2 linked regions of the Tribolium castaneum genome follow. The main gene of each other region encodes a partner of the protein of the gene in region 2 in a complex. Links are inferred from orthologs where the notes say so. Each region holds a gene or a part of one and is shown on either strand. Other genes may lie near its edges. The genes, in order: Rcd-1 and Not1.

Region 1 (16,756 bases), on a different chromosome or scaffold from region 2:
GCATAAAAATTTCGATTTATAAAAATTTTAATGTTACTAATTTTATTCATTTTTAATAAATTAATATTTAAAATAAAGAACTTTACAGGGTGTATCAGAAATACGTGTGTTAATTAAAATTAAATTTGATTAAATTAAATTAAAAGGTAACACAGGTCAACAAATAAAACATTTTTTTGTAATTTTTCAATACAAATTTTGCAAATTTTCAAATTGTAAAATAGTTATTAATGATTATTTCTTTTATCGCAATAATAAATTACATTAGCTGTTATATTTTTAAGTGCATGACCTCAGGTATTGTTCGAGGAAGGTGCACATTTGGGACCGCTTTAGGTAAAAGTTATGTTCGATGAATTTTTAAAATAATTGTAAAATCAAAATCATAAAAACTCATGTTGAGACTTTAAAATTTAATTTAAAAAAAATACGAAGTTTGAAGGAAATGTGAAAAATAGTTTGGCAAATCTTATTTAGTAAAAAATACTTTAGGTATTTTTTCACTAATGGTATGTGATTTTTTCAGAGTTTTTCTACTTACTTTTCGGTGTAATAATAAAATATTAATAGGTACTTATCAATAAAATTGAAAATGTAAAAATTATTTATTGTTCAAAATTTTATGGTTTCTAGTGTTATCTTCTTATTTGAACTTCAAATTTTTATTTAATAATTGTTTTTGGGACTAACGACATTTCTTTAAGGATTTCTTGCACAAAACATTTACCAATGTATCGTTTGTTCTTCGATGCCATAAGGAATAATAATTTTGTAGCTAATTAATTTTAATTACAAGAAATTGTAGAAAAATTCTGAAAAAATTTACCGGCTTAGAAAAAATATAAAGTATTTAATAAACTAATTTAATTTAATAAACTAACTCTGAGTTTTTTTTCTTTTCCATTACCTATATTTTCCAAAAACTAATAGTAGTTTTTGGAAAATACTTACTAAAAAAATAGATACTTTTAGTGAACTTACCCTTTATAAAAATACCACGCGGATTAAAAAAATATAACTTATTATATTCTAATATTAGGTTTTTAATTTTTTTGTTACCTTCTTACCTACGTTACTTTCTTGTAAATGTAAATACCAATGTTTATACTAGATATCTGTTATTAGTAGAAACTACAAGATGTGTTCAAATGATTATCATCTAGTTAACTTTGAAATGGGTTTACACGTACCTTACGAGTTTGGAAAATGGAAAATTCCCACATGAGCACTTTGTTTGCTGTACGAGCGTAGCGAGTGATGCAGGAAATGTGAATACTGGAAATTGCTATACAAACAAGTTCGGTACAATATTTTTTGTAACAAATATCAAAAAAAAAATTTTTTTTTTGATAATTTAGTTCTTTTTGCTGATGAGTTGGTAACAGGTCAAACAATCATCAAATTGACATGAACTGTCACTTATCATAAAAAAAGTATCGTTTCTATCTAAACGTAGCGATACCAACCTATTAAATGTCCTTAGCCACTTTTGCAAAGTAGAAAACACCGCACTGCGGGAAAATCATAGCTATCTAAAAGCTATGAGTACAAAAAATTTATAACAGCAAATTTTGATAAAAAAAATACGACGTTGGCGTTTTATAGTTTTAACACAGTTAATATTAGCAAACACTATGTTAGTTTTTGAGATACAGATAGGTACACATTTAGCAGATTTCACCTTTAGCACAAGCTGTCTTTTTGTTTTTGAAACGGTAGGTTTTATTCACACTTTTCTCTCTTAGGAGCAATAAAAACTAACATTTATTTTTTATTCAGAAAATCTCAATTTCTGTGGAGCTTCACTACAAAAAATGTAATTTTCCTGTCGTCATTATTTATAAATGTATCTTAAAGTTTAAAACGACATTATATTTTAATTTTAAACAAAATAAAAATTAAAATATTTTTTCTTCAACGCATGATGAAGGTATGCCAACAAGACGACCATTTTTTATTTACTAGACCTTACTGACATTTTCGGAGCAAAATTCGCAAAAATATCAGGTCTTATACCCCCAGTTTCTATCTAATAGAGCAAGTTATCGTTAGATAATATAATTTTTATCGTTTCATAAGTTTTATACTAATACCAACACAATCTTCCTTATTCCTTAGCATCGATAAAATTTATCTAATAACGATAGGTTTTAAAAACCGGGGGTTAGTGTTACATACAACGGTTAAAATTCAAATAAGTATCATTTGTTAAAGTTAGCATGCCTTTAATTTAAAATCTAATTGGTATTTTTCTCCTAATGATTCCATAAACAATTTTATAAATCTTCGGTAGTTACATCAAAATTAATTAATTTCTTTTGGAAATATTTTTGTATAATAACTTCTCTTTTTTTCTAACTGTGTTTTTCCTACAGTCTGTGCTCATCGAACGTCGACTCCAGTCTATACATACACACAATTTATTTTGAGTGAGATCAATAAAGTGATACCTCGAAACACATCCCTCTGTGTGTTGTTGATGTTTTGTAAAGTTGCTACAACTCGATGTTACCCCTATAACTTCAATCACAAAGTAAAAATTAAATTAAGCAATGAAGCGTATTGTTATTACGTGGCACATTTTGAAGAATTTTATTGCAATAATAAATCAAGCATTAATGTCATAATTTAGCAGTGTTATAATATCTAAGACACTTTAAATGTGGGTTGTTCTGCAGAGCCCCTGAATTTACGAACTGGTTTTCAAAGCCGCTTTTATTATTATCTTTAGTTGTTACAAAATGATAAATCTGTTTTTAAATGTGCCGTCTTATTGTATAAGGATCGTGTTACATTATTTTGTCCTGTTGCTATTTAATAATCCCGTTTGTATGAAATGCTCACTAAAATACAACTCCACGTCGAGTAAATTACTATTCATGACTATTTTTCAATTTTTTGCTTCACTTGCCGATCGATTTAGTGAACTTAAAGTGCAGATATGATGCACTTTACTTAGAGTATAGATGTACTAGATGTGGGTTTAATGGAGAGACCGTCAAAAATAAAACGTTTCATACTTTATTAAAATACTTTCTCTGTCCTTCGCTTTACTTTCACTTTCACTTTATATGCGTATACAGCAACATCCAAGGGTAAACGACCCTTGAGTCTAACTTCCCCTACTCAATGGTTTCTCCCGCGTTTTATTTTCATTGGCGTCTTCCAGCCGCCATTATAAAACGGGCGGGAAACTAATAAGGGTGGTGGTGAATGCTATTCACATCTATCTACTACACTACCTACATCTTCCCCTAATTTGGCTGTCCTGGAGAATTTTTAATGCGGACACAGACCGACGAGGAAAATTATTATTAATATTTACATAGAAGCTTAATTGTAATAAGTATTAAATACCTGTAGCCACTGTACAGCTATTAAAGTAAGACTTCGTCCACATATCTACCGGTTTCAGAAGAAAATATACCTACTTAATTCGGACTTTAGTAAAAAATCTATAGTATTAAGTCGGTTCATACAGGATCCGAATTAGGGTCGTCCGGGACCCATCTGCTTACCGGATGAAACTTTTTTTATCAAATAATATATCCAAGGGAATATCTTGCGAAAGAGTTGCCTAAAAAATATGCTCAAGACTATGAATAAAAAGAGTTCAATTTTCGCCATTTTCCACAGTGTTTTGCAGCCGTTTTAAGTAACATTTTTGAAACTAATTTACAGGATTCATTCTTCTACTCGGGCTCTTGAGAAAGTCTTTTAAGATGCGGCAATTGCTTTATTTACTTCAGAAAATAATTTTGAAAACTATAAAGAATCTAGTCCTGTTTGAAAATTATTTTCCATCAACATTAAGTGTTAACAGGAAAACGAAATACTTTTGGCCATGTGGTGGACTCTTGGGAATAAATAATGATGGGAAAAAACTTTCAAAGACTACTAGATTTTTATTAGATTTTTTTCAACTTTCAATTTTTTTCTGAATTAATTACAAAAATTAATTATTTATATTAATTTTTATAGGTAAGGATAATAATGATAATAATAATGGATGATCATCGAAAAATGCAGTTTAACTGAAAAATAACAATAAACTTAATAATAAAAAAAATGTGATCTTTGAACCAGGATGGTGTTGATGGGCTCATGTAAAAATTCTTGACAACTGACTAAAAGAGAGCATGTGAATTTGTTTTTGGTTATTTGAAGATATTAATACGAGAACCATTTTTAAGAACCCTAAATATTTTGACTCATAAAAACTTAAAATAAAGCATTTTAAAGGAAAAACTAAAATTTGGTCAGTTACTACTAAGTGCGGAGTGTTAGTAACTTGTTTTTCACTAATTTCTGGCTGGAAATACTTGAGGGTAACTCTAATGTCCTACCTACAGCCATGTAACAGCAAGTTGGAAATGACGAGATAAATATTTCATAACTCGTCAGAAAGTCTAAAAATGTTTTTTTTTGTCTTCAAATATTGTTTTTGGTTTAATTGGATTTTTAAAACAATCATTAGGTACTAACAATTTTTTTGTATTTTGAGCTCAATTTTTTGCTAATAACATTATTTAAGCATGGTTTGTTTTAGAATAATGATTTTACAAATCATAACATTTCGATTAACTAATATTTATTATAAGAAATTATCTACAGAAAAAATACGAAGAAAACATGCTTAAAATTCGTTCACTTTCTTAATAACCACTGTGGTGCAAATGACTAACCTGCTACCACGATAACCCATATTAAAATTAATGCTAAGATCTCGCTATTTGCACCACAATGGACGCTAAGAAACTGCACTGCTTTTACCGAAATTATTATTATTATTATTTATTATTTGAAAGATACATTTACAGCAGTTCACCTTCTATATAGAATAACTTGAGTGTAACTCACTAGAATAAGTGGCTCTTTGTTCATTTAAAGAGCAACTTACACCGGCTAGATTTTCGAAATTTACATTAGGGAGTGGACGCTAAGAAACTATCTTTAAATAAGTTTAATAATTTTCCAACTATTCAATAATAACTATTACATTTGTAGCAAAATTTAAAGATTTGTGATTACTTTGTGTGTTCATGTGTCTGTCGAAATGTTATATTGATAATGCTATATTTCGTAAATGATTATTGTTTCTTAGATTGTAACATAAGTCCGCATGTGTTTATTATACGTTATAGCTATAACCGAGACGTATATACTGCTTTTTATGTAAAAATTGGACGGAAAAAGCAAGTTTTCGTTGTAAGATTCTGATGTTCGGTTACAACTACCATTATAACCACCGTTATAACCAAATTTGTTATTATATACCTTTAGGATGCGTTATATGCCGGGTTTGTTACGTTATAACCGAGCTCTACTGTAGTAAAAATTCATATTTTTAACATTCTTAAAAGACCCATTTCTTGTAAATAAAGAAATAAAAATTAACTACGAAAGATGTTTGTAAAAATCAAGATTTTAAAACTTGCTTAATTAATTAGGTCTCAAAATCAAATGATTTATTAAAACGCATACAAAATTTCGTTAAAACAGGCCAATAAATCACCGAATTATGTCGAAACTTACCTACCTTATTTTCAGCTAAAAACTCATTTATTTTACGAAACATTCCGATTACTTAGATAATGTGTCAATTGGGTCTAGTAATAATTATAAAGTTAAGAAGTTTTTTGAAGTTTTTTGTCAATTAATCACATTTTTAATCTAACAGCTCACCTTCTTAGCAAACTTTTGCTCAAACAGACCAAGAAATTATCTACGAAAGTCGAAAATTATTTTTTATGTTTCAGTTAGTTTTAGTTTAATACTTATTGCAAGCAAAAACTGTTAATTTGCATAATTTGGCTACACCAAGCCAAAAAACCGATTTTATTTCGCTAGATTTATCTGAAGATTTATCGTGAAACTTATTTTGTGAAACTTTCTGAAAATATCCGCCAATTAGATCGAAATTGTTCTTCTTTGTACCTGTCTAAAGTAGGAACAGAAAAAAATCATTGTGCATTAAGAGAAGCTTTAAGAATGCTTAGGTATACAAATTGAGGAAAGTCTGGGATATAGGTATTCCCGATTATAATAAAAAGTATAAGGAATTGTACTTTTACAAAAATAAGATAAAAAGGATAGGGGCCAACACTTTGAGATTAGTAATAGACTTAGGGATAATACTTATAAAGAATCTTTGACTTGCATTAAAATGCTTTAATATCGATTCAAAATTCACTTCTTATTAAAAGAAATCTTTGTTACAACAAATTATCAACTGAAGTAAGTAGTAGCTTTGTAGAAAAAGTGTGAATTTAGAATGTTTTTAAACGGATGTTGGCCTTTATCCTTAGACTTGTTATATAAAAAGATGGCGCTTCAGTACAGCGACTGCCCTCCATCTTGTTTTATTTAGCATGTGATAATCTAGAGTTCGCCACTGTATTTAATCATTGGATGATTTCTTTTATTTACCTTATCTTATATTCTATTATAAATTTGTGATTTATACTGGTCGTGCATTTCCAGTAAATAAGGGAAAATAATAATAATAATAATACCATATGACCATTTGAATTTATAATTAGAGTACACTTTGATACTTTTTTCAATTATAAAGTTAAACTTAAAAAATGTAAATCATATAGACATAAGTTAAACCAAAAGATTAATTAAATTCGAGTTAGATGTTGAAGTTATTAATTATTACGTAAATATCCCTCAATACTATATAAAAAGTTGTTTAATTAAATAGGATTTAATATGTAAAGAATTTTTGGCGGAAGAAAAAGTGAAACTCTGGGAAGTAATTTTATTTTTCGAATGATATTACGTGCCTTTTGGTTTCCTATTATGGAGCGAGTTTAATTTATGGTATTTTTAATTAAACAATCAGCATAATTTAAATTATATATTTTATTTTTTTCACAAAAATTTAAATAATACACATCAGGCATCCTAAAAGATATAAACAAGATACAAAGTAAAATGATCTGTTGGCATATTTACAAGGACAATACAATGATTGCTTTCGTTATTAGTAGAGTATAAAATGTGACTTGTGAACCAGGACATTTGGCATCTTAAAAAACAAGGCAGAATCTGATAAATGGAAACTGCTAAATTTGCAAAATTCTGTCTCGTTCTTTAAGACACCGTAAATCCTAGTCCAAAAGTAACATTTCATACTCTACTGTTATTTGATATTTGAACTAAACTAAAGAAAGACGTTATTAAATCACAATTTTCAACTATTGGGACGTCAAGGGTGATATTCCCCCTTGACGTAATTCTGAAGTACCGGGTGTTTCTAAATTCGTCAACAATTGCGAAAGCCAATGTTTCGTTGATTTATCTTCTTGCAAACACACGGTAAATGTGTTGTCACGTAAGTGATCAGGGAGGCACTGCCTTAATGCTTCTCTAGCCCTAAAAAAGCAAAGAAAAATTAGCACAACCTGAAACAAACAAGAAAAATATCTAGTACCTTGGATTATCTGACAATCTTAAATAACACCTTACAACATGCTTCAAAAGCCTAGCACTTGGTTCCTTCGCCAGAACCAAAACCATTTTACCCTAAAAATTCAAATACAAACCTAAAATTCACTTTTCATTGGTAACAACTTACCAAAATCATAGCCACGTGGCTAAACCTATCATAGGTCTGGCAAATGTATGAAAGGCCACTGTCGTCCAACAAAATCTTCTGCAAGATAAAGGTAGCAACGGTTTTACTTAGTTCAGATCCAGACTCCATTATTCGCAAGCATAAGGGAATTATTTCAGTCGTCAGAAGAAAATTAATGACCTCCTGCTCATCAGTCTACAATAATAAAATAAACTTTTTGCCAACAAAAATAATCAGAAAAATACCTTGACAAGTGCACCAATTACTCCAAGACTTGTCAGTCTCAAGTACTCAAAAGGGCGAGTTTTGGAAACTGTGTGCAGGAAAGGATAGAGGAAAAGAGGCACATGTGCCAACAAAAACTGAGATCTGGTTTCCGGATGGGAGGCCACGCACTGGAGCAACGCCAAAGCGTTACAAACTCTACAAAAAATTACAAACAAGTAGTTTTGCCTCAAATTGTGCGCTTGGTACCTGTTGGACTGATGAGCAGTTAACGTGGCTGGATTTATTGCGGGATAAATATTGATGATTTCTTGCAAGAGAGCCGCCGTTGTCCCAAAGCTGTTCCACAGCATTGGGGCCAAATCAGGTACAACTTCGCGTTTTTTACTACAAATAGCCAAAATTGGACCGTTTGCCCACAACTACAAACGCTCACCTTAATTCTAAAAGGGCATTCTCCCTAGTTTCTGGATTAGTGAGTTCCAGAATCCACTGGAAAACCTTTTCGCGTTCGACGGTTTGGTTTGCTGGACTCGGTTGAGTGCTCATGATTTTGGCTTGATACAAGACCACAGTTTTCCAAAATTAGCGTTTTTTGTAATGCTAGGCTATGCCCACAAAAATTACTTCCAAACTAAAACGTTTGCTTTCAACAATTACTTAATGTTTTGTACGTTAGTTGTGTGAAGTGAATTTTTAACAAAATTGAGACGAAAACACTACAAACAACCCTTAACAACCCCAAATTTTACAAGATTACAGACTGACAACTGACAGATATTTTCAAGCGGACGTCAAATACTCCACTCCCGAAGTCTGGCTAAAGCGAACCCGTTTTTTTATATTATTTCAAATAAAAAGTGTTTATAATAATAATTTTTTGTTTTAAAAAAATCAATGAAATAAGTATGACATAAATTGAACTAAATAAAATTAGGTCAACAAAAAAAAAACACGTTTTAATTATAAAGTATGCAACCAACAATTTAAATAAGGTAATTGGATTTCTCCCAATTCATTTGATGCATAGGCCAAACGGTTCGTTTGGAACGCGTAGTTTTATCTGTAGGAGTTAAAACCGTTTATTTATTGACTGCTCTTATAATTTAAATTAACCATTCTTATTTTATTAAATTATGAATGAGTCCAAAAATTCAAAGTGATTGGTTTTCCACGTTATCATGATGGCCGACCTTAAATGGACCAATCATATCCAAAAACGTAATTCTTCAATGAATCCAAAAAAGTAAAGTAATTGGTTTTCTCCCTAATTTTAATGGCCGACCTCAAACTGCCCAATCGAAATGCTTACAACTTTTACAACAATCATTACGTTAATTACGTTAATTCATAAAAGGATGACTCTGTCTTTGCTTTTGTTGCATCTCACGTCTTCAGTTTTTCATTGAATTATAGCCCCCTGGGTAATGGTAGACGTTCTGCTAGTTGAAAAACACAAAAATTGGGACAATGAGTGAAAATAAATAAGAGGTTTAAATTGAAACTAAAATTTAAATTATTGCCAGTAGGTAGAAAAACACGGCACGTTACTTTGACTTTTTTTTGCTTGGACTCAACAAATCAACATTGATTGTAATTAATATTGCGTGGAAAGCGAGGGATAAACCTTTGAAAATAAATAAAAAAATATAAAATCTCGAAACAAATCAACTTTTCTTTATCAGGAGACACTTGTGTGGCAAACCACGTTTAAAAAAAGTGCCAAGTCACTTTCTTATACACGACTTTACCACTTTAACTTTTGAAGCCGCAAAATCTCAAAATGGTGATTGCATGATCTACAACGTTTACCTGACTCATTCTTCTGATATGCTTACCGCTTATGAGAAAAATGCAAAGAACCGATACTTTTCAACTACTAAGGGGGCCCCTAGTGAACACAGCTACTTTTTTAAGGAAAACATCTTTATTTTTAGAGGTAAACAGAAAATCAGAAAAAATCGTGAAAAAACCATCGTTTTTAAAGCATATTTTTAATTAACATTTTTTCAAAGATTTTGCCCTGTTTTTCTATTAGGCCACTTGAACACAAAAATGAATTCGTTTCGATCATATCCACAAATTCACAGTTTTGTTTTATGAAGGTTAACAGCTTTAAAAGAGAAACAGTATTTATTATTGTAACATACGCGGAAATCGGGTCAGTTTTTTATTATCTAATATTCTGTAACAAAAATTATGTTTCGAAAAGAGGTTTCATTTGCGATGTCGTTCATAAGTGGAACACTAGAACGTCATCAATACTGTCGACTCAACTTCTCAAAACGTAATAAAAACGCGGAATATTGGGGAGTTCAGTTTAGTCCTGGTTAGTCCTGCTTGGTGTTGATTAGTCTTGTTACATCGTGGTTATTTTGTGGTACCAAGTGTGTAAGTACGCATTCTCATTCAATGTAGTCATTTTTTGTAAATAAACCTTTTCTACAACACCACCCACATGACTTTTAATCTCACCCTGTAAAATATGGTGGAGGCGCCGGGAACTGACATTATTAAGTTAGGATTATCCTTGTTATAGCAAAAATGGAGGATTAGCATTAATATAGAACTACTTATGTCTAAAAAAGATAAAGACTGGCAGGGCCACCCCAGAGGCAAAGCCGAAGATGAAATTTATTTAAGGGAATTATGTGAGTTGAAAAATTCGGTGCATACCTAAACGGTCTACGCTCCAGAAAATGACAAAGTTTTTATTGGACTCATGAATTTAATCATTTTTTTTGGAGATAACTTTTACTCATTAATTTATTTATCAAATTAATATCCAAATGTTATTGTATCAAAGTTTTCAAGAATAACTGATTTGTCATAAACAAAACCAAATTCTTTTGTTTCTATTTTATTTAAAAGTGTTTTGGTTTTAGTATCTCTGGTAATTCGATTATACTGTGAACTGATTTTTTTGTCTTTGTATTCTAGTAGTATATTAAAAAAGAAGTTCCATAAGACCACTCATAAAGCACGAATTCAGTTTTTTGAAAGAATAAGTGGTATAAGGTCTTATAAAACGAGTTATACTATTTTTTGTAATTTGCCTTTTGTTTGCCGTTTTTAAACAAAAATTGTTATTTTAGTCGATTTATGGAATTTCGTCACAGTTGGTAATTTCTGTTTTGAAAGTGAAATATTGATTTAAAATATGTGTTTTATTAAAGTTTTGACAAAAAACAAGAGTTTGGATGACAATGGTATTGTTGCATGAACGCCTCTTGAAATTTGTGAAATTCCAAAAATACGGTTCCGAATTTGTTTCTTGCCAACCTAAAAATTTTCGTAAAAAGTTCCGTCAAATAATAACTATTATGACATCGTACTTGATGACGTTGAGTGCTTTAAGGTGCCTATTTAAGCATCAAAATGGCGGCAAATTACAAAAATAATGTTAGAGTTATGTACTTACCGTGGTTTCTTTGTATTAAAAAAGAATTAGTTGTGTTTTATTATTTATTTATTATCATTGTCACGAATTATACACCAACAATTATGTATTTACAATAAAATAAAAATTACGCATTTACAAAAAGAATTTTTCTTTTTCCTGTTCCTTCTTCGCGGTGTTTTTAATGTAATCGGTATAGGACGTAATCAAATCATCCATTTTGTAACCTTGCGACGTTTCGCACAAAAGCTTCGTTTTCCTCATTATGTTCCCGATGGTTAGGTGGAAGAACGTATTCCCCGAGGACCAATTGCTCAACTCTGAGAATTCATGTACGGCCAAAATATCCTAAAATGCAAAAAATTACAACAAACCAAACCAAACCGAATCAACAAACCTTTGTTTGTGGATGCAAGATATTAACACCCAGTTTATTAATCCCGATCAAAATAATACCCGGTAAAGTAGGATCGGTGGTTTGTTTGACTTCAAAGAAAGTGCACCCGAACGTGGGCCACTCGTAAATCGTTTCCAAGAATCGAAGCTTTGCTTTTTCGATGCTAATATCTCCCAGCTTTTTAAATTCGGTTAAAATACTTTTCTTCCACTCGGAGGAACTCGCAGCCTTGACCAAATCTGCTGGGATCAGCTCCTTCAAGTACTGCACGGCCGCTTGGGCCTGGTTGTAGTCATTGTCAAGCCTCGAGTGGAGAACCAGAGCGGCAAGTTTAATCGCGTCTTGTTTGGTGCACTTGTGGAAACCTCGCAAATACTTGGGCAGTTCTTGGTGGAAGTGGAAGATTTGATCGGCGTTTGGGTCCTTGCCAGGCACGGCGTTAATCCAGAGCTTCTTCATGAAGAACACCTGGTATTGGGCTTGGATCGGTGCCGCACTGTTCCAGCTGGGTTTCGTCTGCCGCATCCAGGAGATCAACTCGTGGAGGAAATCGTAGAAGAAGTAATCCTCCGGAATCGAGAACACTTTATCCGAAATCATCACAAACAAGCTGAACCCGTCCGTGTATTCCAACTCCAGTCTGGATGAAATTGTCTTGCAGAGGTCGCACGCCCTGGTCACGGAATCCACTTCAAAGGCCTCGTCGGTGTCGTCAGGGAAGTAAATCTTGTGGTAGATTTCCATGCTGCGGTGTTGGATGGCCTCAACTTCGACGGAATAGGGCGGGTATTTGCGCGGGCCCACCTTCTGGCTCCGCTGCAGCCGCTTCAGACACGGCTCAACGAAGGGGTGCGTCCTCGAAGTCAGGAACTTGTGCAGCTCTGTCATTAGGGAGGCACTTGGGATGAACAGACCCGTCGCTAAGTACATCAGCTCCCAGCCGCGTTCCTCACTTAAAGACAGCCGGTTGAACGTCAACTGGCGCATTATCTGGCAGTAGACTTCGTCCTTGAGCATGTCATTCTTAAGAGCCCCTGAGAAGATTTGATCCGTGTACTCGTTACTGTATTTGGCTTTGGGGGCCGGTAGGTCCCCCATGTATTTCAAAATCGCGGTGAACGCCGAACATGCTTCCTTACTCAAGTCTTCGTCAGTCAAGAGTTTCTGGAGGTGGGGTTGGTAGATTGGCTCATTGGTGTACTTCCAGAGCTCTTCACGGGACGCTCTTCGCGCCGCTGTTAGAACCGACGGTTTGGAATTGACGAGTTTCTTCCCGGCTCGGAAGTGCTCATTGGCGTAGTGGGCCAAAGTGTAGAGTTTCAGCCTCTGCATCGTGTTCAGGACAGGTGCTGAGGGCTTTTTCGGCCCAAAAACACCCTCTTTTTTGAACGCTGTTAAAATGTCAGCTGGGGGCTGCGTGATGGCTGGGAGGATGTAGACGTGCTCGGTCGGGAAATCGCCAACGGAGCCGTTGCATTCCCCGTAGCCCCAAGTGGCCGACATCAGGGCTTCGCCATTAAGGCCGTTCTTCAGGGCTATTAGGTCACCCTTCTTGAGGGCTAGGAACGACGGAGCGTTGGTCTGGTGTTTGTAGTCTTGAATCGCCACCACGTACGTCGACCGTTTCTTCAAGCCGTCCAGAAGGTACTGGATGAGGGTGCAAATATTTTCGGCGTCGGGACTTACGAAGACGTATTCTTCGTTTCTGACCGTGGTCAGGACGAACTTGTGCAAGTGCGAACGCCCGATTCGCTCGAAACTGACCGAACTGACGTCGCAAAAGCTCAGCTCGAGGAGGATTTGCTCCTGGTCGTCGATCATGTAAATTCCCGTCCAGTTGACAGCGATTATCATTGTTTTGGTCGGAAGCTCGGGTCCGCCAGTCTGCATGGCTTCGAAGAATTTTGAGAAGAGGATAGGCCAGGTGTTTTTGGCGTATTTGACGATGAATTCTTGGGCTTTAATCGCTGGGAGTTTGTTTTTGACGCAGAGTAATTTGGAGAAGGCATCCTTGATCCGTTTTTCCCACTCGTCCAAGTTCTTTTGGCCTTTCTTGACTAAATAAGTCGGCATGTATTCCCCGATTCTGGTATGCAAAATTTCCGGGTTAAGTTGGGCCCCATTATCGACGTAATACTGGGTGGCCACTAGTGAAACCACGTCGCCCTCAACACTACAGCGGTACTCCCCAAACTTCAACCCTCGTATTATCTGGTGGTAGATCAAGCTCGTGGCAACGGAATCATCAGCGGCGTTGTGCCACGGCGTGAAAATCTCCTTCCTGAAGAAGAGCTTCCAAGGAGCGTTGCGTTCCGACTGACCTTTCTCTTTGGCGTATTGTTCACACTGAGAAATCGCATCCATAACGTGGTCAGAGTCACTCCCCAACGACATCACTTTATCAAACAGCGTGATAAACAGCGAAAAACCGAAAACGTCCTTCAAGTTGCGTTTCGTTGCTATCTCTTTGCAAATCTCTTCAGACGTGGTCGCTGAATCCACCTCAACCTCCTGCTCGCTGTTGTCCATAAACGTGATTTTGAGCGAAATCGGGTTCTTGTTTCTTGTCGCCATTAATTCCAACCAACTGGGGGGCTGCGTCCGGGCGCCGTTTTTGAAAGTCCGGTTCAAGCGGCCTTCGCAGTACGGGGCGTAACCTGGGGGACCACTCCGGATGAAAGCGCGCAAGTAGTTGAGAAACCTGTCGGAGGGAGGGAAACAACCGATGCACAGCGAGAGCAGAATCCAGCCACGGGCGTGTGAGGCTTTGGTCGGGTTATTGGTTAGTTGTTTGCAAATTTGGCAAAAGATCTCGTCACTAGAAAAATTAAATTCGGTCAAAATGTTAGTCAACAGTGTTAAAATACCGCAGTTCTGGTCGCAAAATCCCGTGCCCGATTATAAAGTGCAACTTTTCCAAGTTCGTAGCTCTGCGATTATTCAACCACTCGTTGTAGCTTTCGGCCGCAAAGTTGTCCTCAACCAGCCCTTGTCGCACGTCTTCCAACAGCTTGTTCTTGCGTCTCAAAGTCATACTTACTAGTTTCTTCCTTTCGGATTTGGTCAAGCTTGCCATTTTTCTCTCATCTTTCAGAATGTCCTAAACTCGAACAGTGAGAAACACGGATGAATAAAACTGGACTAACCTGATACTCCTTCCGGTTGGTGAAACTCCGACTCAAAGTTTGCGACACTTGCGTCATGACTGATTCGTTGGTTTTGATTGCATTTTCAAATTTGGGTTCCGGTAAGTCCCCCATGAACCTCAAAATGGTGATCCAGAGAGCTTGCGCTGCGATAATATCGTCCGGCGTTGGTAAATCAAGTAAAGATTCTTTGAGTGGACGTTTGGAGTAGTGATGATTAGTGTTTTTGATGAAGTAAGTCGCTGCAAATTTCGCAAAGTTGTAAGCTGACAAGTCTTCCTGTTCTTCGTCGTAGGTTTTGTCTTTTTCGCCCGACTTTGCATCCTTGAGCAGCTCCTGCAAGAGTTATCAGGAGGTAAAAATAGCTGCTATTAAGTGGGTTATCAGGATATTGATTAGATCCGTTGAAATCAATATTCAAAATCAGTAGCCTACCGAACATTGCGATCAACGTTACTGAAAGAATGTGGAATTCTGTTCCAATTTATACAATGTTCCGATTTTTGTTAAATAAAATTGAAGACTTTGTGTGGTGTTTATTTTATTACACTTTGGACATTCCTTGTGTTACTTACAATAAACGCGTCATTTTCTTTCCTGATGTCGGTTGGAGTGGCTGGAAGGTTCGGATCTTTGAGAAACTCGAAGACATCATCAACCAGTTTCTTCGCCTTGTTTTCTTCCTCCTCCTGCTGCTTCAACTTCAAGGTGTACTCCCGGTTTAGTTCAGCCAAACTCTTTTGCATTTTGGTCTCGGCGTCAATTCTATAATTCTTGTTGCCAGCGTTCTTCATATTTTGTTCATCGACCTTTCGCTGTTTAACTATCGCATAAATTCGCCCAAACTGCGATTTATTCCGAACCACATGTCCCCTGGCAACTGCCTGCAAATGAACGATATTTTTCCGGACCTTCCCAAACGAATGCGTAAGTTGTCTGGACCGAATCGACGCTTGCAACCTCTGATAGCCATTTCTGATGGTAAGAAACTTGGTGCGATAGCCCCTCGCTCTCCAGTATTTTTGGAAAACGATGGTCGCCTCCCGTAGTTTCCGGAAACGTCGTTTGAAAATCCAGCCCCGGATGGCTTTTTGCAGCACGAGGATGTACTTTGATAAGATCCTGCTGCGTTCCTGCTCCAGGAACTCGTGGTCGTGGGCTTTGAGGAACAGCTTGGTGTGCCCCATTTGGAAGTCTTCGTTGTTCTGGAAGACCGTTTCGCAGATTTTCTTCGTTGATTGTTTGCAATCGCCCTTCGTACTTGGGGGGATCGCTTTGCCCAAGTGGCGGAAGCGGTCGACGAAGTCTTTGTAGGTGTAACGGATGGGGTAACCAGCTTGGCGGATCTTCGCCGTTTCCATCATTCCGGAATAGCGCAGCTGGCGACAACACAGCGTCCTGTCAAAAACCTAAACACAATCCACATTTACAACGTTGAAACAACAAAACGGGAACAAACCTGTGGTTTTTTCTCCTCGTTTGGTTTGATGCACCTGACGAAGTAGGGATGGCACATGTTCAAAGTTTTCATTAAAATATCAAGCGAACTTCTGAACTGCGACGACAGGGTGATGGTCCGTTTCGTGTTGGTTTCTTGCTGGAAATCCTCCGCGAAGATCTGCTTCAGCAGCTCGTTGTTTGATTCCTGTATCAACTGCTTCAAATCTTGACTGAACGAGTCCCGATTTTTCTCCAAAAAGCCAGGCACGTCGTAGTAGACAGGACCGGCGAAGTGCTGGACACCAAAAGCAGGAGTGACGTCGGACTTTGGTTTGAGATAATTCTTCTTCGCCGAGTGAGTGTTGTGTAGTTTCGCCAACATTGTAAAGTCTGTCCCTTTGGGAAACTTCGATTCTTCGTCAATTAGCGACATCAGATTCATTGGTTTCATTCCAATCATGTCCAACACGTCTTGATTATCGACGAAAGCGATGTTTTTCCAATTGATGCCTTCTTTGGTGTAGTAGTCTTGCTCCAGCTTGAAGATATGTTGGACGAAAAAT
Region 2 (16,906 bases):
TAGTAGACTTTCCATTTAACTAGGATAGATGCCAATATAGGATATATTTTTATCCAGCACCATTATTATACAGATGTTGATGTGTATGTTTATTTTATATGGTTTGTACAATATGGAAATTATGAATGGAATATTGTGGCCTTTACATAATGTTTTACATTTTTATTAACACTTTTATGTTTAAATTCGTTCACTTGACGCATTCAATTTTACTTTTTATGTATATTTCTGGTTGTGACAATTTATTTTTACACGATTTCCTGTATATTTTGGCTAATCGAACAGCTACCTTTCGTATTATGTATATTTTGTGCCCTATGTTAATCGTATCTCTTATTCAAATTTATGTTATTTATAAGTTATCAGGTGTAATATCATTACTTCAAATGATTTGATTAATAAGTATAATCCAACTTGATTCATTCAAGTTTTGAGTGCATCTGGTCATGACACACAGACTGGGTATAATTTTATGTACGTACTGTAAAACAATTTTTACTTCGATTGAAGGCGTGGATGTAACTAATGTAGGGAGTGGCTCTGTGTAAATTAAATAAAAGCATTATTGTTATCTCTTCGATTTCATTCTGTCCAACTGCCAAAATAAATTGCTCAACTTCTCTTTATTTAAAAAAGGGAGTGAGGGATAAAGAAATAAAACACTGTCGTGCTTTCTTCAAAACATTGAAAACCATTTAATACATCCACATATTTATAGTAATTACAAATACTTGAAAATTTCTTAAAAATAACTAATTTTTACAGAGCTATATCTACATCTATCCTTATACCTATAAAGGAAATTAATTAATCGCATAATACCAGAAAGAAAATTAATAAAAAGCAAATTAAAATAATTCGAGTTCACAATATGTAACCATTTCATTATATACAAATCACAAAGACATGTTATCACTCTTGGATTTCATTTTCTTGGGCTTGCACTGCTGTTTTCTGCACCATGCATGATCTGGCAACCGACTCAAATAACCTGCAACAAAACTAAAATTACCAAACCGATAGCTTTTTCTCTCAATCAGGGTTGACCTAGCGATACTTGAAAGAAAACAAAAATACACAGAATAGGAAGATAATAATTGTCTTTGTACAAGACGATTAAGTTGAATTCCACCAGAGTGGAAACTTTTAATCCACGAGAGCGCAGTCCGCAAATCGATAACGCAATTTCGTCGCCTAAGAAGTCCCAATTAAAAATTAAATTCACTTCTAACTCGCATGTGAAATGAATGAAGTTTAAAAAGCTACTCGACATTTATTTTGAATAGAACTGGGCTCTAACGTCTCGTACAGAAGAAAAAAAACGGATGAAAACTCACTTTTCAATTTCGGGAGCGCAGTGCACGAACTCGTGGCTCCAAAACTTGTAGGTGGGATTTTTGATCAACTCGATGAAGGTGATGAGCAGCCCCCACGGATGTGGTCTGTTGACGATCAACCTCTCCAGAAGAACTCGCGTTATTTGCTCTTGAATGGCTTCAGTGTTGGCTTCGGCGAACAAGTACAACAAAGTGCACGAGAAGTAGTGCGTGTGGCTGTTGGGATAACGCAGCTGATTCGCTATGGCATTCAGGAACAAGTATCTCCCTTCGGTATCCAAATCCACGGCGAGGTTCTGGAAGATGTCCATATGGGCACTGTGTGCGATGGTGGTCATGTTCGGGGGGTGTCCCTTGCCTCTGATATAGGCGATAGCTTGCATGCCCACATGCAGAACCAGCGCGTTCATCAAGGGGATGTTGTAACGCACGCCAGGTTCGTTGGAAATCTGAAGATTGCTCCGCAATTCCGATAGGAAGGTCACCGGAGCCCTAGCTTTCAGATACGAATCGAGATCCTTTCTGAACTGAGCTGGAGTGATGTTGATCGGAATATTTGCTAGGATTCTGGGACCGAAGGCAATCTCTGGCAACATATCGACCTTCAAGTTGGGGGTGAAGGGGTCAGGGAGCCTCATGTTGCGCGGAAAGGCCGACAAAATCAAGTTTCTCATTTGAATACAATTTGGTGGAATCTCATCGCAGAAATTGTAATGGTAGTCGCATAGGAACTCGGGGAAATCATGCAGGAGGACCAAGAGCACGCGCAAGGTGCCTTTGTAGAGCATGGTGACAGGTTTGGCCAACTCGGCGTTCCTCAAAAACGGCGACAAATACTTGAAAAGATCAATGAGAAGTTGCGCGTACAAAGGCCAACACTTTTGTTGCGGAGTCCCCGCTAGCATGCGCCCCATGAAGATTCGATGGGACACCAACTCCAACCAGGCGTAGCAAAAACCGGCGGCTTTCGTCGGACGCAAGATGTGGAGAGTGTGGCAATAAGCGCTCAACACGTGGAAATTGATGGCTTCTAAGACCGGTTCGGGGGAGTTCAACTCGAGGAACAACATGGTGAAGATCCTCTGGTAGGGCAGCTGATTGAACTCGATGGTTCTTGTGTCGTGATCTTGGAGCAAACAGCCGGCGACGATCCCCAAAACTTTATTCAAAAGATGTATTTTTGTAGTGGTGTTATTGGCATCACCTGAATGTTTCACCAAGAGGGCCACCAGACGAACAAACGCGTCCAGTGTGTTGTAACATTTCGCTCTGACTGTTGGTAACTGTGCGTTGGTCTTATCTGAAATTATTCTGTACACCGCTTCCACGCACAACTGTGTGGACAATCTGAAAAATCTTGTAATCAATTCGTCGGTTTTTAGAATCCCATGCATGTTCATTTGATGCACGAATACGCCGAACGCTTTCGTTGAGTCGCGGCCTTGAGGCTGGTTGTAGATACTTATCCACTCCCTTAAGAGGAAGTCGGTTTTCTCGACAAATCCCGGAGGATCATCGTGATACGGCCCGCGCACCTATAAATTTACTATAAGGAGTATCTTCGTCGTTTATGAACGGACTTAAAATAATCACTATCATTAACTTTACAACATTAAATAATAACAGAAAAACGCTTATCTAAGATTCTTTAAAGCATACAAAGTACAACTTTAATTCCACTAAACATCATTCAAATTGTATTTTTTATTTCAAGTAATTAGTTTAGTGTAAAATTTTTACACAAAATAAACACAAACAAATACTACTAAAATCTAAATTCTAAATACACGGTTGTAAATCTAGACATCAGAAAAGTGCAATTTGAATGACCTTTATGGGTTAATTTCATATATATACAACAAGTTCAACAAGGAGAAGATCTGCAAGATTTCTCCGAGTAAAGAATAAAAATACAACCGAGGCGTTTATTCATTGCTTTATTGTGGACAAAAACAAACACTTAACAAATTTATAATAATACAAAATATTTCACGTTTTTATTTTTGAATTTCAACCTTTCGATGGTCAAGAATTTGTAGACATTCTTTATTGCACGACGTCGTTTGGACCTCACAATGTCATACACAAGAAAAAAACAAACAAAATCAACCAAAACTAACTAAATAAATGAAACTAAACACTAAAAACAAAACTGAAAATATAGTTTTCACTTGTAAGAATTTACTACCTTTCCCATCGAAAGGTTAGTTTTTCTCTATAAAGGTAATCAAACACACGACTACAAACTCACAATTTTCTTAAAAAACGCTTCTCTACCAGTCCGTAATCGTAAAAAATCCGGCAACAAAAAAGCCGTTACAATTTCTTGAAAATGTCCGTGTCATTTCACTTAAACCGGAAATCACTATCCGTGCATCCCGAAAAAAAATTTAAACCATAACTCCCAACCGGGTCGCGTTTAATCTACACAAAAAACACATCGTTTAGAAACATCATAAAGGCAAAGTTTCACCGAAGGAAATCTACAAACAGCCGAGGAGTAAACAACTGAGCACTAACATTGTACCTACAAGCCCAAAAATTTTCAAAAAATTCCGCTAAGTTTTGGAGAAACATTGGCCGTTTTGAAGAGTTTCCGAGGTGTTTTTTGCAAGATTCGACCAGAGTTGAGATAGGTAGGTGCTTTTCAGCTGTGAATATAATTGTAGTCGATCTTCGATAACCCGAATTCCGTAGCAAAAAGTCATAATATTTAGTAACTCCAACAATCGAACTTCGATAAGTCGAATTTCTTGAAATATCGAACATAAACCGACATTTGTCTTTCAAAATCAAACTTTTTTGCACAAAACAACATTTGAGCATTTAATTAAAAATATGTAGTTTTTATATCTTAATTTTTTTTTCTTCAGTTATTTCTGATAACACAAATTTGTTGATAACTGTCCATTCGAGTTATCAAAGTTCGACTGTAATAAATATGTTCGGTTGTATTTTACGAAATAAATGTGTTAGATGTACAAAATTGTAGTCAGCTGTTTACCCCTCACAATAAATAGCCATGCATGTCTTAACACCTACCTGAAGAATTCCATTGTGAATGTGAAGAGTAGGTCCAACGGGCGCGCGGTCTCCAAAGAACGGTGTTTCAGGATTTTGTCTCAGTATCTCGATGATATTGCCCAAACCTTCAGGTGGCTGTCTCATGTGGGTTTGTATCTTGGCCAACATTTCGATCGTATTACAAAGGTCATTATCGGTCACAAACTGGTTATTGCGATCGTCAATCAGATACAACTGGACCAATTGCATGGCAAAGTTGACTCCCATATAGTTCACGCCGTTTTCCATGCACTGGGCCAGTGCCAAATCATACTGAGGAACATGAACAAGACCAGACTTGATCAACGTATCGACAGCGTCGATATTGTAACGATAATCTTCACGACATTCAGTCAAAAATCTCGTAACCAGTTTGTTAGTCCACTGTTGTCCGAAAACACGCGGATCTTGGAATGATTTCAAAACTCTAACTATAATCTCCTTGAAACGCATAACAACAGGGTCGGCTTCGCTCAATGTCGAACCAAGGGAATCTTGCAGACTCTCCACGCACTACACACACAAAAATCAATGATTAAACCGCCGAAAACATAAAATTGACACTCACTTTTTGTACCATGGCTTGTGGCGGAGTCGGATCCCTATTTCTCGAAGTATGTAGAAGACATTCTCTGATCAAAAGCAAATTAGAACTCATGTGCGAATATTGTGGTTGTCCGGATGTGGCTTGGACAAACTGTTCGATTTCGAGACACAATTTCTCGAAAGTTATGGTCAAGTCATCGTTGAGCACCGCTGCTTGTGGTAGGGGAAATGGTGTGGTTGGATGTATCTGGGTTTCAATCGGTGCCAAGTTTTGTTTTTGCATCAAAATGCTCGAATCGCGTTCGTTCGGTAAAAATCCTGGAATATTTCGGGCGAATTCTTCGTACACAGCCATTTGGCTGTTGGAAATTCCGCCCACTTTTAGGCGAATCTGCTCGGGCATTCGCTCGGCCTGGTAAGTCAGCGCAATGGCGTCACAATAGCGCCTGAAAACACAAAACAATGATAACAAAATATCTTCGAAACTAAAAAAAAACTAGGGACACGATGTTAGTAAGAGAGTTTTAGGTTTCGTTAATTCGTATTTGAATCTACTGTAGATACTGCCCTGCCAGAGCACTCTAAAATTTCACTTACCGTCCTTCTTGTCTCGCCATCTTCCTAAGATCGTACTCGCTCATCAACCGCTTGTCAATTTCGGGAATAGCCTTCTCCACCGCCGTTTTTTGAACAAAGGCACACGCCAACTCCATATTGTCATTGGCAATAATACTGGCCGCTTGTTCAATCATCTCCTTTTGTTGCAAAGTAGGAGTACCAATATTCGCCAAGAGGGCCTGTTTCAGGTGAGTATTTATGGCAGACAACAATTGGTCTCGGCACGTTATCATTGCCATACCGGCGGTTAGATTCCTGACCATAAAGTGCGCCGCTAGTCTCATTCGTCCCTCGTCAGGATCCAAAGCAAAATCCTTTCTGATGATTTGTTCGCACGTTTGCAAAGCGATTTTAATGGAGCGGTCAACAACAGGCGCGATCCACTCCTGCACAGCATGTTCAATTGACGACCGAACTAGAGGTTTCAACTGTGGCTGGTTTTGGAACAGCAGGATAGAAGGACTGACGACGGTGTGTGTCTGAAAAGATGTCATTCCGGCAATTTGGATGTCCCCATAGCTGAAACGGGGCTCCGGAGGTGCAGACAATGCCGAAGTTGGAGTGGTACTGTTATTGTGTGTGACTGGAGAATTAGCCGCCTGTCCCGGAATCATGTTCACCAACTCCGGTTCGTTTATAGCGCCCTGAGGGATGTTGCCTTGTGTTGACGGAATTAAAACGTTTTCTTTCTTAGATGGTTGAGATAATTGATACTCGATCTTGTGGATGCGTTCAGGGTCTTTCAAATACATGGTCGGTTTCAGTTGAGTTATGTCAATATCGAGGTTTTTGCACAACACTTCGATTTCGAATTTCAGAGTGAGTTTCAAGTCCTGCTCTTGGTGGAGTTCGGCGAGGACGTTCATGATGGCCATGGTCCAGGGGTTTTGTGGCTTGAAGACTTTGCTTTTAGCGCACGATTCTATCACTTTCGCTACGAATGGCACCACGTACAGCAATTCCTGTTGGCCTTTATTGTACGCTTCTACAAGCAGTGATTTTAGGTCTAAATCGATTTGAAGAATTGGTTTGTTGCGGGCCAAAGTCAAAATGCCCAACCAGTGTCCCAAATTCTTCAATAATGATCTATCAGAGAAATTCTCGATTCCTTTATCCGATCGTAGCAGAACTTTGATGTTTCTGTACGTTTCTTTAGTGACCATTCTGTAAACTTCGTTGTTATTCAAAGTGTCCAAGAAATTAGAATACAGCCCGTGAAAATTCAACTCGATTGACGCCCTCTTCATTACCAAATATTGCGATAGCCAAGGCCAGTATTCCTCCAAAACTAGCTCACGCAACTCGTCACACTTCGGTTTAAGGTTCAGTTGACTCAAGTTATTAAAAATGAAGGCAATTTTATCCTGGAGAGCTTCCGGTGGCGCAATTACTTTCTCATCTTTTTCTGTGGCGACCAGAAGTGTGTCAATATTCGTTGCATTGGCTATCGATGGTCTACTCCCCAAAGTACTAGTGGTCGTAGTACTTGCCTTGCTCGGGGCACTCGAACTTATCGTCGAATTCGGTTTATACACTTGCGAAACTGGAGTGCTTGGTGGCGCAAGCATCGAAGCCATACTGGCGGGTAAAACTGAACCTTGTGGCTTATTTGGTGGTTCAACACTTTGCAAACCGTACTCGACATATTCTTGTAAATGTGACGGAAATTCGGAAAAATGAGGTATGGCTCGTACGTGCTCGCAATATTTGTGGTAGTCTTTCAATCGGCTCTTGAATCTATCCAGCGCTGCTATGCCGAAATAATACATTTTGGATCCCTCTGGTTTTTTGAGGGCTTCTAAGACGAAACGCAGAGCCAACCCCAATGCGACGTAAGATGTTACGATGCTCCTTTCGATTATGCCACCAAAGAGTTGGGCTGTGATAAACAGTTCCTTCTCCGGGTATTGCGGAAAAAATTTGTATTCTTCGAACAGGTTTCGCAGCATGCAGTTGAAAACCTGGAAAATAAACGTAGCAAACGTAATAAAAACTGGATAAAAGCGTTCTTTTTCTTTTTCCTTTGACAAAAAGCCAGAATAGACCAGTTTAAAACAATAAAATAAATTAATATTCAAAAAATGTCTGCTTCAGTTAATTAGAATAAGAGATTAGTAAACTTAGTTACTCAGATAAAATTTCGTTTTTCGTTCTTCTGCAAAGGGTAGTTCTCTGCCTGTGACAGGTTTAAAGACTTACCGAAGATTATCAAATCAATAGGGTATGTCACAAAATGCAAATTACTTAGGATAATGAGGGATGGGTGTTTGAAATCGGCTTTTGTAAGTTCGGGTTAAACTTTTGGATGGAAATTCTGAGAAGCTTCTTTTCAATGTGTTGTCATTTGGTGAAAGTAGATAGAGAAACGTTATCGATATATAAATTTATTAAATAGTTATCAAGAATTATAGCGTTTAACAGATTTATTCTGAACTAATGCTATTAATGTTATTTACTCTGACATCAAGGATAATAAAAATTATCTTCATTTATTGTTATTTCATATTAACCGAAAAAATACTCAGAAAATGTGAAAATATTCTGTTGGCATTGTTACAACCAATGTTAACAGCCCCTTATTATTTAGTCAATAAATATTTAGGGTTTATCCTTCATAACCACTACCTGGGCCCTGTTCCATCAACGTCTTTGTAACTTGAGACTTTGCTTAGGGTTTCACCAACAACAGCATATTTTGCACACTTTGTAAAATATACTTTGTTTTATAAAAATTTGCAAAAACGATTTCAAAGAACTTGGGCTAGCTAATGTTGTTGCATAGTCTTTTTTTTCTTTTTTTTTGTAAATATGCAAAAATACTCAATTTATAAATAAAGTGTTCGGAGGTAGAGTGAAATTTTACACGGGCTACATGAGTTCACTCTTGACTAAATATTGCCAACCGTATCTGAGAAAAAGTGTCATACAGTTTTAGAAAAATAAGCCTTTGTTATAAAGACTTATCGAAAAAATACCACCTCAGCGGATAAAATAATGTCATTCTTTATATGTTACAAAGAAAAGATTTTTTTTTAAGAGAAAATACACATTTTACAACATTTTAAAAATTCGTAATTTGTGTACATGTTGGAGTGTAGATAGAGAGGACCCTTCAAAATATCAAAAATCGCAGATTAACGGTAATATAAAAAATATTTAAAAAACGCTGACTTCTCCTTTGCTTATCAAACGATTTTTTTTTCGAGAACAAAATATCTCGTGATCGATTCAACTGATATTGGTAAAAATTTAGTTCGAGTATTATAAAATTATCTAAAGTATTGCATAGAATTTTTTCCTACTTTCCCGAGCGCCAACGTGCTGTAACCCCTAGTTTTTGAAATTCTAAAGTGACTGAAAATGTTGCATTACGTTGTTAAATAATGTCAAAGTTTAATGTAAATTTAATTGGTTCAATATTAGTTTTTTATTATTATCATATAAAGAAGTGGTAAAACTCACTTCTCTCTCCCGTTTGTTGTGCGAATCCTGGAACCTCTTCAACATATCCAACACCTCATCAATGGACAAAGTAGGATGAGGCGGATGATTGTAAATCCTTTGAAAATAGCTATTAGCTTCGTCTTCAATATCCTTCGATACGTTGGGCGACATTTCCGGGAACAAGTTATATTCAGGAATCCTGCTTTTATCAATATTCGAAGCCGGGCCCATCCTTCCAATATTCCCGATTTGATTAACTCCCAAAACCAGCGACGAACTGGTCCCTACTGGTCCCTGATGTTGCAACGGCATCATCGGAAACGGACTGTTTGAAGGACCAGCACCCAAAATCCGCGAAGGAGACCCGGGAGACTGCACTAGCGGCCCGAGTCCCCCTTGCAAATTAAACGCCGAACTAGTGGGCCCCGACATTGTCATGCTGGCCAAATTCGTGGTCAAACCGGGAATAGTATCGACAGCAGAGTGGTTGTAAAGCTGTCCCGACATTGCCGAAACACTGAACGGGCCTTCAACGCCCCTGGACCTAACAAGAGCCGGCTGTTGACGCGATTTCAGTAAAATACTGCAACCGGTGGTGACGTTGATTATCGCCTCTTGGCACTCGGGACTGACGCTGTTCATGCAAGATTGCAAACAAATCATAATCGTGGTCAAAGTTTCGTTGGGTAGGGACGAAGCTTTGGTCATAGCGTCGTCACTTTTGCCCAGGATTTGCGGGCAACGGCGGTGCAAAAACTTGACGCAAGCTTGGACAAAAGGCTCGCCGTGTTCTCTGATTTTATCCGAGAGCCACTTTTCCAGCTTGAGGTACTCACGTCTGGATGCAAGACAAGCCAAGTCGATGATGAACGGATAAGATTGTTGGTTTTGGGCGTTTAGGAGCATTGAGAGGGCTTTCAGGTCTTGGGCAACGTCCAGAATTCGGGACAGTCTCGTTTGATCGCAGTCGCTTCGCACATACCATTCGGCCATGGCATGCATTATTATGGATTTGATATTGATGTTGGTGGTGTGCCAGGCATGGTGTAGTATTATGGCAGAGTTTGGGTGATTCAGGAGAAAGATTGGGATCAAGTTGGAGAGTAATTCTTGTCTGAGGAGCGTTACAGGCCCTTGTATTTGTAACAATGCGAGGACTAAGACATCAGGACAGTTGTGCATTGGATATTTGAACAGTTCTTGAACGTAAGTGAACAAGCCACATTCAGACATGTGCAGGAGCAACTCGACCAGATTTAACGATCTCCAATTGGCCAGTTCCTTGCTGTCTTGTTCCGGTGGTGTTTTGAGAACGTCAACACTGACGGTCATCGCGGGATAGTCAGCAAAACAGAACACATCTGGATTTTTGAGAACATGTTGAACGAGACTGAACTGCCCCTCGACGTTCGTCCATCTCTTATAAAATTGGTCAATTGGAAAAGTTTCCGGGTGGAATCCCAGCGTCTGGAGGCCATGTCGAAGTGCACTTATTAGAATAATGAGTCCTTGTCTATCTTTAATAATAAATTCGGGATGGTCCAACTCGGCCACAGTGTTGGCCCATTGAAAGTTCGGCACGACCTCTTTCAACGCCTGGACGAAAACCTCCACGTTCCAAGTGCGCCCCTCATTGCCCTTATTAAAACTGCCTGGCGATTGTAGACTGAGTGAATCTTCAAGGCCACTGTGTGTTCGGCACATAACGGTAAGGATCCGAGCGACTGTTGCAGGGGTGATGTCGCGTCCCCCAAGCTTCATCAAGTTGTTCCGACATTCTTCCACCGACGAAGTAAAACCGAAACCGATCTCAGCCACCAGATCGGCCAGCGAAGTCTCTAACATGCCCCCGGATAAACCGGGGCCTTCGGATGACATTTCCGGCGACAATTCACAATGTTCGGGGTAAACTAACGGTGCTAACACTACGGGAACGAGGTCTTTGGGGAAGTCGCGCTGGAGAGTGTCGAGAAACGCCCGGTGCGCGTTGTTGGTGAGCCCAACGTCTTTGGGGGCTTTCAGAACAGCGGAGAGGATCAAGTGGAGGACCTCGGGGGTGGTCTCGTGGAGGCCCCCTTCGTGCTGGCGGGTGCTGCCTTCAGTCTCGATATACGACTGGATGAGAGTCGGAACCGTTAACCGTAAATGTGCCTGGGCTAAAGACGAAACTTCCTGGTTTGAAGAGTGGCGAAGGGCGAGAGCGAAAACGACTTCCTGGACAGCTGAGAGGCGAAGGCACTTGCTCAACTGCTGGAAGAACTGGGGTCCGAATTTGAAAGCCTGTAACGGAACCGCTGCAGAAAAAGTGACCCACCGAAGCGGTTTTGTTACCTTGTTGGTGCTCAATGGATTGTCTGTGATGTAGCAAACAGACGTCAGCAGCGAGGGTTTGTTCAACAAGTTCGAACACTGCTCTAACAATGCTTGATTTTGGGGAGATGGAGCGGTTATTTTGCTTGTAGATTCAGAAAAGTCCACTGATGAAAATAGACATTGGAGCAAGTGACGGTCCGCCTCCAGACCATGCAAAGTTACCAACTATAAAACGAACGTTTGATCAAATTTAAAAGCTGTTTAAGTGATAAGAAGCACTCTGATAATCTGAATGACATTTTGCAAGAACGTGAACGAAAAAAATAATAACAATCAAAACACCTTTGTTCACCACAACATTGCTCGATCGGTAACTGTGCGTGACAGCTGGCATGGAAAAGATGGCCGATTTGTCAATCTGATAATTTTAGTCCACGCATTTGCAACGGTTCAAATTTTCCGCTACTCTTACCTTTGAGAGTTCGGCAACGACTTGCTTGTAGTTCTTTTTGGTTAATGATGCAACTAAATAACTTATTTGTGACAAGGTAAAAGACAACGAGTCTAGGTTCATAGTTCCATGAACACGGCCTCGAAAGCTTCAAATACTTTTGAAGCTTTCTTAGGTATGCACGGGGCTTTTATCCACAAAGTCTTATGTATTTTTGAAAAACAACTAAATTTTAAATGGTCCAAGACCATCATCGAATCTTTAATGTACTTTTCACCACTTTAATTTACCAGAATCATCTTTTGACTCACGCAACACACAACACATGCATCGAATAAAACATATGTATGAAACTACGCATGACCAACAACGAGCTCACTATCCTGAGGGGATGTGTGGTTATAGTTACGTGTATTTTGATTATTTTTCCAGAAAAGACGCGCAAAAAAAAACTACACCACCCGGAACACGCACGAAAATGGCAGGAAAACGTCAACTTTTCACATGTGCTTCGAAAGCCGAAGAAAACTAATGATCCGAATTTGAAACTGCAGCGGCACCTCACGTCATGAACGGTAAGTTCTACCCGCTCTTTTCACCCGAATTCAAAATAAAAACGTTATCTCCATTTACTTATCGCATGTTATCTTATCACTCAGTGTGAATAAAGGACAGATAAAAATAAAACGAACTGGCAAAGATATATTTCTTTATTTCTTAACTGTTCAAAATACAAATTGTAATTAAAACATGTAGAATATTGAAAATGAAGATGAAGCTTTCAGGATTTGCTATGCCTCTCAGCAACTATTTTCTTCATCTTTTCCTTATAAATATTTTCTATTAATTGAATCTGGAATAGAGATTGATTAAATAAACAAGAAATGCGTTACACGTAGCATGTTATTACCTCTCGGTCATTTAAAACCATTTTTTTCAGGACATTTTTCACGTTCTTGTTGGTCTGCTTTTCAATTTTTGTTGCATTATACATATACGCTTCCAAAAGGGACGCCCATCGCTTGTTTAAATCCTGTAATAAAACGATGAATTGCTCTTACTTGAAGAAAAAATCGGTACCTCAAAAGCTTTTTTATGGTTCGTGGCCAGTTTGTTATACTTGTCCAGAACCGCGATGTTGCTACTTTTATACGTTTTGCACTCCTGGATGAGGATGTGCAAGCGCTTGGCTAACTCAATGTTTTCCTTTTCTAAAGTTTCCATCTTACGCCCACATTCCTCCAAAACTGCAGCAAACTGTTTGCGATAATTTGCTTCCTGAATCTTCCACTTTTCCTTCTCCTTGTGATACAAATCGGACCGCTGTTGAATGACTTTCTTGTATTCCTCTTCGATTTTTTCCATTTTCTTTGAATTTTCTTCTTGCAACCGATCACGCAACAACAATTCGGTTTTCAAGAGCTGTGCTTGCAAACATTTTTGAAACACGTCGCTGGTCACAACTACAAGTTCAGGGATAGGAGTAGTAAATTTAAAACACAAACCTACTATCGCTGTTTCTTTTATCTTGTTCCAAACCACTTTCAACGTCTGACAACTCTTTGAATAACTTTTTCCGCACCACATCTTCATTTACTCCATTGACTGTCTTTTGCAAGTCTATGGTCTCCTGTTTTGCATCATTCAGCTGCTTCTGAGTGTTTTCCAGTTGTTTTTCAATCTCTAATTTATTTTGTTCCATCACTTTAATACATTTTTTATAATTGAGAATTTCGTCTTTCAATTTTTGAATAGTGTGCCCATTATCTACCGATTCTTTCAACAAATTGTTCCTGTTTTCAGTCAAAGCAGCAATTTCCTTTTTCATTTCGGCAATTTCATTAGTGCAGCGCCTCAGCTCATAGTCTAGGGCAAATTTTTCACCCTCTAACATAGTTTTGGCGTTTGTAAGGTCATCAACAGTGTCTTTCAATTCGGAATTTTTCACACCGTGTGTGAAACTCTCAATAAAATCGCTCAACATGTTGTCCCAAAGTTCCAGTTTTTCTCGGATTTGTTTAGCTTCGAGTTTATCGACGTGGAACGAATTGAGAAAATTTTGCACGTCTTTCTTCATCTTGTGAATAATTCCAAAATTTGTCCTTCTGGGACTTGTGGCTTCCAGATGGGCAAGAATGTGCTGCAACTGTTCGTGAACTTGCCCATATTTGGACTTTACTGAATTAACTTCGTGAACATCAACGTCAGACTCGAGTAAATCGGTTTCGGAAAGTCCCAGCTTGAGACAAATTTTCTGAATCTGGGTCTTGACTTTGTCGTTCTCGTCAGTTATTTTCCTGAACTCATCTAACTGAGCCAACAGTTTTTGTTTATCTTCTTCGGCTCTCTTCAACTCTTCTTGTACACATTTATGGGTTTGCTCATTTTCCAGTAATTGTTGTTTTAAACTGTTGATTGTAACTTCTGCATTTTTTAATTCGTTGCTCATTGTTTCCAGCTGAGGCAGGCTGTATTTCTGCGACAAGCTTTGAATGTCACTTCTTGTTTGCTGTATCATTTCCTCAATCTTTTCCTGCAGTTCCTTGTTTACCGAATTCAGGTTCATTATTTGATTATTACGATCTTCAACAGCTTGTTGGTAACTCTGTAGTTGCCTTTGCATGAAAATTATCAGTTCTTCATGTTCACTGTCACCTACAATGTTACCGTTGTCCAAATGATGTAAGCCAAAAATTTCAGACTTACTGCATGGTTTAACCTCACATGAATACATTTTGCTTAAGATCTGCCTGTATTCAAATAATTCGCTTAGGTCAGAGTCATAAAATCTGAAAGTCAACTTTATTAATTGGAAAAACAAGTCGTGTAATTTTTACTTCAATTTAGCTTTCAGCGTATTTATTTCAATGTCTTTGTCTAACAACATTCGTTTTAATTTTTCCATATGAACAACCATTGTTTCTTTGTCCTAAAATCAATAACATATTATTATCAACAGGTTGTAGCGTCCGAAGAATTTCAAAAATTTTTTTCTTGACTAAATTTATTCCTACTTTATAAATAATAAAAAAATGGATTATTGCAAGTTTTATAAAGCGTATTATTGAAGATGTACCATTTTTTTGGTTTGAAAGACATCCGCCATATCAAATTTATTGGCTTCCATTTGTTGCATTCTCTCTAAAACATACAAACAAAAACAATTTCACGAATCAGTATCAGAAATAAAAATCCTAGACCTTTAAAATGATCACTTTCTTTTTTTATAGCTTCGCCCAGGACAAACAAATCTTTACATTGTTGTTGCGCACTTTGCAGTTTTTTGGATAACGCCATAATGGCCATGTTATTTTCCTCCTCCACTTCTGTTTTGCTCTTCATTAACTTTTTCAAATCTTCCTCCAAACGTGTTTTCTCCTTTTCCTTAAAACATAATATACAATCCAAAAAAATAGACGCGTCTGTTGTGCACGTACCAAAATTTGAGCTTTTTTTGATTGTTCCTGATACAAAGTTTCCAGACTGATGATCTGATCCTGGTGAGCTTTTTGTAATTCCTCAGAATTTGATTTGCGTGTCCCTGTACTAAAGGGGTTATTATCAGCCAACTTCAATTGCAACTCGTTGACCATAGACTTGTATGTGCATATTTCTAGGTTTTGCTAAAATATTTTGGATAGAATTAGGATTTATTACTATTATTACGTTTACTTCTTCTAGAATTTTTTTAAAGTTGTCGATATTCGACTCTTTCAAGGCCAAATCTTCCTTTAACTTGTTGATAATTTCGTTTTTTTCAACTAAAATTCATGATTATTATTTGCTGCACAAATGAGTTAACAGACCTAATAAGCTTTCAGAATTGCTTAGCGAGATTTGTAAGTGACGGATTTCCGCCTCTGCAAGAGTCGATTTGTTTTTTAGTACTCCAATTTCCTTTGCTTTCTCTTCCTTGTATTTTTCGAAATCTTTTTGAAGGCGATTAATTTCCCTGACTCTAACATCGTATAAAATCTTCAGCTGCTCCTGCTGACTGGCGTCCTTATAACACTGTTCAATAGTTGAGTCCGTAACATCGTTTAAAAAACTTTTTCCACTTCCTTCGTACTTAAATTCACTTTTGTTCCGTAATGACCCTTGATAATTTGGCTCATTTGCTTCTACTGATGTTACCGATGAATTCATCGTACTGTCGTCATAATTAAAAGCGTGAATCCCATCTGCTAATAAATCAGCTAACTGAAAGAATAGCCCAATTGGCAAAGTTTGTAATTTAGGAGTAGTTTTACTTCTTCTTGACGTCGTCGCTGTTCTTCGAGCTCTTCATCCTCCTCCCGGCTTTGGGGGTTATCAACATTTAACGAATTGTCTTGAAAGACACTCATTTTCACCTACTTAACGTTAAATTATAAAAGTTTTCCGAACTTAACCTCTCTTTTGAGTAACTTTCAATGACGCCATGAAAAAGTTCAAAAAGAAGCCGCCATCAGTTCTAACAACCGATCACGAACGAAAAGTCCCTAATAAAAAATTTAAATTCAAAAAGGAAAATTTATGTAAATTATGCCTTTGTGGGTTACATAATGAAAACAAAGTGTTTTTCTGATGTTTATTTATGTGAAAAAATTGTCACAAGGCGTATTACACAAAGTGATAAGGTGCACTGAGATAAGTGTATTAATCTAAAATTTTATTGCCTAATTTCTACACAGGTCAACTGTTTTCACTGTCTGATTTTTTATGTTTTACATAAGAAGTGTAAATATCATATCCTACAGAAATGGTATTGTCATACAACACCCTAAACTTAGTTGGTAGAAAATAAAAGTTTATAAACTGGGCAGCAGGCCATACAGCCCATTCAGCTGCATATAAAATCCACGCCTTTTCCTGGATTTCTTTCACCACTTCCTTCGTCGATTTGCGTTCCAAAATTGCACAAGTCACAAACAGCGTAGCAATGCACACAGGAGAGCAGACAATCTGATCAACAATGATCTTCTTACATACGGTGCCAACTGTGTAGCCTGGTAATTTACGGTCTAGGTAATTGTACCAATAATGACAGATCACCCCAATTGAAATTCCACAAATTGACATGTTCCGAGTTCTTGTTCTGTTCCAATTGTCCAGGTCGTCTGTTAGCATTTCGTAATTTTGTTCAAGGATGTCC

What was found.
Region 1: the proteins of Not1 (region 2) and Rcd-1 are in contact, whole or in part, in a crystal structure (PDB 4CRU), measured with the Homo sapiens proteins. The link is inferred for Tribolium castaneum from reciprocal best matches to the Homo sapiens genes CNOT1 and CNOT9. Residues at the interface, in NP_057368.3 of Homo sapiens: Ile1415, Ala1416, Thr1418, Thr1419, Gln1422, Ile1423, Lys1426, Asp1427, Phe1428, Met1444, Asn1447, Leu1448, Gly1451, Met1452, Met1454, Ile1455, Arg1458, Glu1459, Tyr1548, Gln1549, Arg1552, Met1553, Pro1554, Gln1556, Ile1557, Leu1559, Val1564, Lys1567, Gln1568, Leu1569; in NP_005435.1 of Homo sapiens: Arg19, Glu20, Tyr23, Ile26, Asn27, Ser30, Ser31, Pro32, Arg35, Pro54, Met55, Trp57, His58, Ser59, Phe60, Gly61, Ile63, Ala64, Ala65, Leu67, Gln68, Val71, Asn72, Tyr74, Pro75, Ser76, Ile77, Asn78, Pro79, Thr81.

What each region holds. Positions count from the first base shown.
Region 1 is NC_087398.1:10,408,909-10,425,664, reverse strand, and holds Rcd-1 (CCR4-NOT transcription complex subunit 9), read right to left. Parts: upstream 8,571-16,756; 5' UTR 8,360-8,570; coding exon 8,247-8,359; intron 8,198-8,246; coding exon 8,060-8,197; intron 8,009-8,059; coding exon 7,831-8,008; intron 7,781-7,830; coding exon 7,586-7,780; intron 7,534-7,585; coding exon 7,442-7,533; intron 7,384-7,441; coding exon 7,206-7,383; 3' UTR 6,853-7,205; downstream 1-6,852. Other genes in the region: myosin-VIIa, read right to left, coding at 11,346-11,558, 11,608-14,425, 14,475-14,707, 14,754-15,089, 15,329-16,162, 16,213-16,756. UniProt on the Homo sapiens protein: Component of the CCR4-NOT complex which is one of the major cellular mRNA deadenylases and is linked to various cellular processes including bulk mRNA degradation, miRNA-mediated repression, translational repression during translational initiation and general transcription regulation.
Region 2 is NC_087394.1:30,449,137-30,466,042, forward strand, and holds Not1 (CCR4-NOT transcription complex subunit 1), read right to left. Parts: upstream 12,211-16,906; 5' UTR 11,896-12,210; coding exon 11,794-11,895; exon of another isoform or gene 11,729-11,793; intron 11,547-11,728; coding exon 9,027-11,546; intron 7,526-9,026; coding exon 5,544-7,525; intron 5,393-5,543; coding exon 4,969-5,392; intron 4,914-4,968; coding exon 4,380-4,913; intron 2,873-4,379; coding exon 1,338-2,872; intron 992-1,337; coding exon 913-991; 3' UTR 669-912; downstream 1-668. Other genes in the region: putative leucine-rich repeat-containing protein DDB_G0290503, read right to left, coding at 12,554-12,625, 12,683-12,805, 12,853-13,235, 13,282-14,427, 14,479-14,561, 14,610-14,701, 14,849-14,913, 14,973-15,156 and 4 more; mpv17-like protein 2, read right to left, coding at 16,447-16,906.